Macaca mulatta: one gene and its partner. The protein of the gene in region 2 binds, or shares a complex with, the protein of the main gene of each other region. Links are inferred from orthologs where the notes say so. Each region holds a gene or a part of one and is shown on either strand. Other genes may lie near its edges.

Region 1 (2,806 bases), on a different chromosome or scaffold from region 2:
ACAAAATGTCAATAGGGCAAACGGGGGGAATTGTACTAAAAATAAATTATTTTCAAATGCAAACTCAGGGAGTAGACTCAAGAGGTATCATGGACTCACTGACCATTAGGGTGGCAGGGAAGGGAGGACTCAAGGACCGTTGACAGGGCGTCTGGCTGGGTCATTATACTCAGGACAGCTGTAGATAAGCCCAATGAGCAGTCAGATGTCCACATCTGGAGCCCACGGCTATGCCGCAGAGCTGCTGTAGCCCAAAGCAGGTGTGATTAGGGAGAGAAAAGGTCTGAAGGTGAAGATGGGAGGAGAACTGAAGGCTACCAAGAGTGGGAGCCCTGCTGTTGAGCTTTGAGCCTAAGCGGCCCAGGCTTATGCCACAAAACACATTCAGCGTGGCCAAGCAGACCTCCAAGGCAGGGTCTCTCCCTAAGCCCAGGGCCTCCTTCCCGGGGCCACAGCTGCTGAAGGCCATGAGACTGGGGAGTCCCACCTCCAAAGCTCTTCCCTTCTATTCGGACTGGCAGGATGCTCTGGGTCAAAAGGCTGAGGCTCACCTCCCCACCAGAGGACCTGGAGAAACACACCCTCTAAATGTGCACACGCACACACACGAAGTTCCCCAGTGCCACGGAGCGAATTTATTGTGAAAGCTCGTGGGGTGAGGAAGGGATGGGGCAGGCTCTAGGAGGCCGAGTCGGAGGCCTCTGAGCTGTCCTTGACATCTGTGCTCTCTGTGGTCTCGCTGACCTCGCTGAGGTCCTTGCTGTCCCCACCACTATCCTCGGCAGCCAGGCCCTTCTCCTCGCGACAGGCCTCTCCTGAGCTCGGAGGTGAATTGCCTTTGCTCTCCACCTTGTTCTCGATGGCACCCAGCACCACATGCCTGCCCTTCTCCTTCAGCTCCAGGTGCCGCCTCAGCTGCCACCAGGAACCCAGGGAGAAGCAGGAGGTAAAGAGATGGGGCCTAAGTTTCCAGACAAAGGGAGCCTGGCCCTGTCGCTGGCTGAGGAGAGGGGCATAGTGAGGCAGCAGGGCTAGGCAGGACACGTGGGACTGAGTGGGGACACCTGGCTGGAGCCCCAGTCCACTGCTACCTGGGCTCACTGACTACCATGGAGGCCCCCACGACACAGCGTTGCCCCTTGACCAGCCCTGCCACCCAAGGAGCCTGGGGCAGAACCCTGACTCAGAACTACCTCTGAGCAGGCAGGCCACCCACTGGTCCCCAGGCCTCCCCACTTCCCTTCTAAAAGCCTCCTCCCTCTGCCTCTCCCATCACCCTCCAGGCTGCTAGGCAGACGGCCTCCTCTAAAGCCCAACCTAGGAAACTGAGGTTGTGACTCCTGGCAACATAGCCACAAGGGCTGGCATTCAAAGTTGGTCGCACCTCCAGCCACTGTCTCGGGGCTCCCCAATGCCACCCCCGCTTGCCTGGCTTGGCTTCATGCAGGCTCTTACCTCGTCGGCCATCTGAGTGAGGTCTCGCTTCATGGCATAGGCGTCCTCCCCATCTGCATAGTATTTGGGCTCCACTTCACTGATCCTGGGGGCAGAGGGTAGAGAGCAAGGAGGAAGACCCATACCTGGGGGACACCCTCCTCCACTCCTAGTATCATGGCTACTGGAGCAAGATGCCGTGTTTTCTCCCTGAAGGGCTCCTTCCTGAGACAGCAAGTCCAGTGTGACCTGCCCTCTGTTCTCTCCAGCAAAGGCTCCAGGAAACAGCGGCCCGCCCCACCCCTGTCCTGCCCCCGTTCTGTGTCCTTAGCCTGGCTACTAAGGATTCATTTCTGTGGTTTCTTGTGAGCTGAATTCCTGAATTCAGCCTTCCCCTTCCCTCCCTGCCCTGCGTCCTGTCCCTTACTGAGCTGCCTCACAACAGCCATCAGAACCCAGGAAAGACAGTGAGCTCTGTTTAGGGGAGTCATCCCTAGGCAGCACGGGCCCTGCCTGAGCAGCTCAGGGGCCATGCCTGCACTGGGGAGGCATGTGTGCAGACTCGGGTGGCCATGTCCCTGGAAGGGGAGCTGGACTCAATGGCCTAGGCTGGCCCTGCCAGGCCTAAGACATGAGGATTGTTGACTTAGCTATAAAGCAGTTCCCACCAGACATCCTCATCTGGGTCACAGATCCCTCTTGCCAGCATCCAGCCCAGAGGCCACTGCCCTTCCCAACAGTCCCTCCTCTTCACCCCTGCCAAACAGGGGCTGACTGCAGTTAGTGTCCCTCCACGGGCAGCCCACCCCAGCTTCACTTGCAAGCACTTTTTTCCACTGTCTACTGGGCATGCTAACTGCCAGGTCCTCTCTCCTGTGCTAGGCACACGGGGCCTCCCGGTCCTCAGGCAGACCTGCCCCATCCACTAGGTTGCCTGGCCGCCGGTCCTTCCTTCCTGAACGTGCATTCTCCTTGATTCTGCTCTCTCTTGGATTCTTCCAGGTGCTTGGCCATGCTATGATCTGCTCACGCCAGGGACCCACACCTCTTTATTCCCAAACATTACTAAACAGCCCGTGTGCCCTTCACCAGCCTCTGCCAGCATGGGCCAGAGCTCCTCCATCACAACACACACGGAGCACGTTTCAGCAGGCAGGTGCTGTCTCCATGCCGGCTTTTCAACCATCAGCCACCGAGTGAATGTGGAGGCATCCTGGCAGCACTGGGGTCCACAGCGTCCTCCCCACATCCGGCCCACCCCTAGCCTGGAAGGCAACTCAGCCGGTCTCAGGTGCCCTGATGGGCCAGACCTGGGGCCAACCCCAGCCCACGAGAAAACTCGAGATCTACTTACTGAAAGTTGAGGGTGTTG
Region 2 (3,805 bases):
AGTGTGTGTGTGAGAAATGGCAGGACAAGTCATAATGCATGGAAAGGTACCTCCTTATATGGGTATGACCACTCATTTGTCTCCTGCCCCCAACCAAAATCTCTTCTATCTTAGGGTTTTTCCTTTTATCTCTTTCCACTTGACAACCCGACCCCCTCTCACTTACCCTGTGTGTTTTGCCCCACACCCTTTCCACTACTGTCCTTGACAGCAGGAGGCAGCAGATTGCTGAGGCCCCCACATGGAGGAGGATGTAGAACAGGCGGCTGCAAGTGGATGCGGTGAGAGAGGGCCACCTAGAGTGGCAGCAGCTGGCACAAGGAGCAGGCCCACAGCAGCACACCTGGGGGTAGAGCAGATGCAAGGCAGCGAGGTGGATACTTGCTGAGGAAAGGCATATGTTAAATGTATGTGTGAGGTTAACCCAGGAGGCTGAATTCCAAAATTTCCTTCCCCTTTCTTCCTTTTACTCAGGTTCTGTTTCAAGCTGATTCCAGCCATTTGGGATTGCCTTCCACTGACAACTTAGTAGGGGTTTCATTATAAGCAGGCTTGAGATATCTGACCTTTCTCTAGACCTAAACCCCTGGGGCTGGGACCATGGCGGGAGACATTTACAGATACCCGGGGGCAAAGTACCAGAATGACATTAGAGAAAAGAAGCCTGACGTTTTTACTGGCTTCTGCATGTTTTCCTCCCCAGCTTCTGCCACTCTACCTTTCGCACCCTCTCACCTGACAGAAGGGGCTTTTCACTAGGACACTGCTGCCTCCGCTGCGCTGCTGTGCCAGGCCCAGGGAGGTGCTGGGGCTGAGGCCGGCCTTGGCACCCACCATCCTTGTCCCAGGGATTAGGCTTAGGTCCACCAGATGGAAGGCAGATGAGAGTAGCAGCTGCTTCTGTCCTCAGCCCATTGGACTGCCACTGTGTTGGGGCTGAGCACCCGGTCCCGGGCAGAATGCGGACGTCTGGAAGAGAACACTGACCTCTAGGATGTGGTAAATGCAAATACCCTGTGAAGGAGCTTTGTCCTCAGGGCCTCAACACTGCGGCCACTCAGGCTGTTCTCTCCAGATTATGGGGCAGTTTGTCTATCTGGCCCCCTGTGGATTAGCATTCTTAATTGGTTTAGGATTAGACGTCATCCATTCAGGTTGAACGGAGTTCCCTGAGGTGGCTGCGTGTCTATGTGTTGAGGGAACTATTCCTAGTTTATGAGGTGGTAAGGATGTCGGTGGGGTGGGCTGGAGCGGTGACGGGTTAGGTCTGAGAGAAAGCCCTTGCACAAAAGACTGTGCAAACCCGAAAGGAAGTCTGAGACGAACCACCTTCCTCGCTGAAGCTTCTAGAACTGGAGCAGAAAGAAGGTGTGGCCCAGGGCCAGCTCCGCCTCCTCCCCGGGCGGAAGCTGTGTGTTAGTTGCCGGAAGTCGCCGTGAGGTGGGGCTTATGCGGCGGCGTGGTGAGATAGATATGGCGACTGAGGGGGATGTGGAGCTGGAGTTAGAGACTGAGACCAGTGGACCAGAGCGGCCTCCCGAGAAGCCACGGAAGCATGACAGCGGTGCTGCGGACTTGGAGCGGGTCACCGACTATGCGGAGGAGAAGGAGATCCAGAGTTCCAATCTGGAGACGGTAAGGTTGGCCAAGAGCATGTTGGGGCGGGCTGAGAGCAGAGGGGGTCTCTGAGGCTGTAGCTGGAAGCCCGCGCTCCAAGACGGGGTTCTGATCCCGATGGCAGGAGGAGGCAGTAGGGTAGAGCCGAGGGAAACAAGGGTCACCGGAGCCCGCCGCTTGCCTAAAGGAGCTTGATAGGGGGCTTAAGGGGACCTCAGATGCATAGAATGGAATTAAACATGGTCCTTGCTACCTGGTAACACTTGTCATCGTGAATCCATACATGAACCGCTTGTTTTATTGGCCTTGTAGATTATTGGGAATTGTGGGTAGCGGTGCACTAACTAGACCTGCCTTTGCCATAGGCCATGTCTGTGATTGGAGACAGAAGGTCCCGGGAGCAGAAAGCCAAACAGGAGCGGTAAGTCTTCAGGGGCAGCCAACTTTAACAGTTCTTCCCTCCCCGCTCCCCAGACAAAAATAGAAACCATTATTAAGCCTTTATACCGCTCTTCAACTTTATCACCAATTCCTGCAGATCTAGGCCCCACAACTTTGTTAGCAGAAGGCCTCCTGGCAACTCCTGCTGCGAAGACTCCAGGGGAAAGGAGTATTAGTGGGAGTTTTTATTTTTTTCTGAGACGGAGTTTCGCTCTTGTTGCCCAGGCTGGAGTGCAACGGCACGATCTCAGCTCACCGCAACCTCCGCCTCCCAGGTTCAAGCGATTGTCCTACCTCAGCGTCCCTAGTAGCTGGGATTACAGGCATGTGCCACCACGCCCGGCTAATTTTGTATTTTTAGTAGAGACGGGATTTCTCTGTGTTGGTCAGGCAGGTCTCAAACTCCCGACCTCAGGTAATCCGCCCGCCTCCGCCTCTCACAGTGCTGGGATTATAGGCGTGAGCCCTCGCGCCCGGCCCTGAAGTTTTTACTTTCAATCAAGGGTTTATCAAGATGATTTTACAGGGCACATCTGGGAATGACCCTTCCTGGGAGTTTATGGTGTTGGTTGAGAATGAGGCCTAATATATTTAAACATTTGCAGGGAGAAAGAACTGGCAAAAGTCACTATCAAGAAGGAAGATCTGGAGCTGATAGTGAGTAGTAGTGCCTAACTACTGTATGGGGAGAGGAGGCTATTCTGCTTAATTTGGGTTGTTTCCTGAAACAAGCGGAGTCAGAATATTTGGTGGCACATTAATGCCTGGGAATCTATGTAACATGGTTTTTTTCTGCAGATGACCGAGATGGAGATATCTCGAGCAGCAGCAGAACGCAGCTTACGGGAACACATGGGCAACGTGGTAGAGGCGCTTATTGCCCTAACCAACTGACGCGTGCTTCCACAAATATACCTACTGGATTAATTTATGGCAATAAAATTTTTTTTTGTCTTTCTCAGTTTTATCATCTTGGGTCAAGTGGAGTATATACTATATATATTCTATTTTGTGGGGAATTTATATGTTGGAGAATAACTGAATTTAAGTGACCCATTAAAATCTAGCACACCTGTATGAAAAATTAGTGTAGAATAATACCTCATGTGCAGATGCAGATGCTAGGTGGCAGGACAGTCTCATTCATCTGACTAGCTCTCAACAGTAAATAAGGTACATCTGGCGTCTCAGCAGAGTTACTGTACTCAAATGGCACGTGTCTCCAGGACAGCTTATGAATATCTAAAATGTCAGCTACCTGCCTAGGAGCCACTATATGTATAGATAGCTGTAAGTTATGAACCCAGTTCATAGGCCACCTTGAGTTAGAATTTTGGTACCTACAACATGCTTGATTTCGAGTGATAAAACAAAAAGAATTTGGCTGGGCGCCATGGCTGACGTCTCTGATCCCGGCACTTTGGGAGGCCGAGGCAGGCAGATCACGAGCTCAGGAGTTCGACCAGCCTGGCCAACACGTGAAACCCCATCTCTACTAAAAAGAGAAAAATTAGCCAGGCATGGTGGCGGGCACCTGTAATCCCAGCTACTCGGGAGGCTAAGGCAGGAGAATCGCTTGAAACTGGAAAGCCAGAGGTTCCAGTGAGCTGAGATTACACCACTGTACTCCAGCCTGGGTGAAAGAGTGAAACTCCATCTCAAAAAAAAAAAGGCCGGGCGCGGTGGCTCACACCTGTAATCCCAGCACTTTGGGAGGCTAAGGTGGATCATGAGGTCAGGAGTTCAA

Evidence for each region. The genes of interacting proteins can lie anywhere in the genome.
Region 1: the proteins of HYPK (region 2) and NAA10 are in contact, whole or in part, in a crystal structure (PDB 6C95), measured with the Homo sapiens proteins. The link is inferred for Macaca mulatta from reciprocal best matches to the Homo sapiens genes HYPK and NAA10. Residues at the interface, in NP_057484.4 of Homo sapiens: Lys27, His28, Ser30, Gly31, Asp34, Leu35, Arg37, Val38; in NP_003482.1 of Homo sapiens: Glu24, Tyr26, Lys29, Tyr30, Tyr33, Lys59, Glu134, Lys136, Tyr137.

The regions. Positions count from the first base shown.
Region 1 is NC_133426.1:160,175,529-160,178,334, forward strand, and holds the end of NAA10 (N-alpha-acetyltransferase 10), read right to left. Parts: coding exon 2,789-2,806; intron 1,541-2,788; coding exon 1,456-1,540; intron 916-1,455; coding exon 679-915; 3' UTR 613-678; downstream 1-612. UniProt on the Homo sapiens protein: Catalytic subunit of N-terminal acetyltransferase complexes which display alpha (N-terminal) acetyltransferase activity. Acetylates amino termini that are devoid of initiator methionine.
Region 2 is NC_133412.1:21,181,606-21,185,410, forward strand, and holds HYPK (huntingtin-interacting protein K), read left to right. Parts: upstream 1-1,270; 5' UTR 1,271-1,449; coding exon 1,450-1,635; intron 1,636-1,982; coding exon 1,983-2,038; intron 2,039-2,663; coding exon 2,664-2,715; coding exon of another isoform or gene 2,716-2,723; intron 2,724-2,856; coding exon 2,857-2,952; 3' UTR 2,953-3,157; downstream 3,158-3,805. Other genes in the region: SERINC4 (serine incorporator 4), read right to left, coding at 167-343, 736-837. UniProt on the Homo sapiens protein: Component of several N-terminal acetyltransferase complexes. Inhibits the N-terminal acetylation activity of the N-terminal acetyltransferase NAA10-NAA15 complex (also called the NatA complex).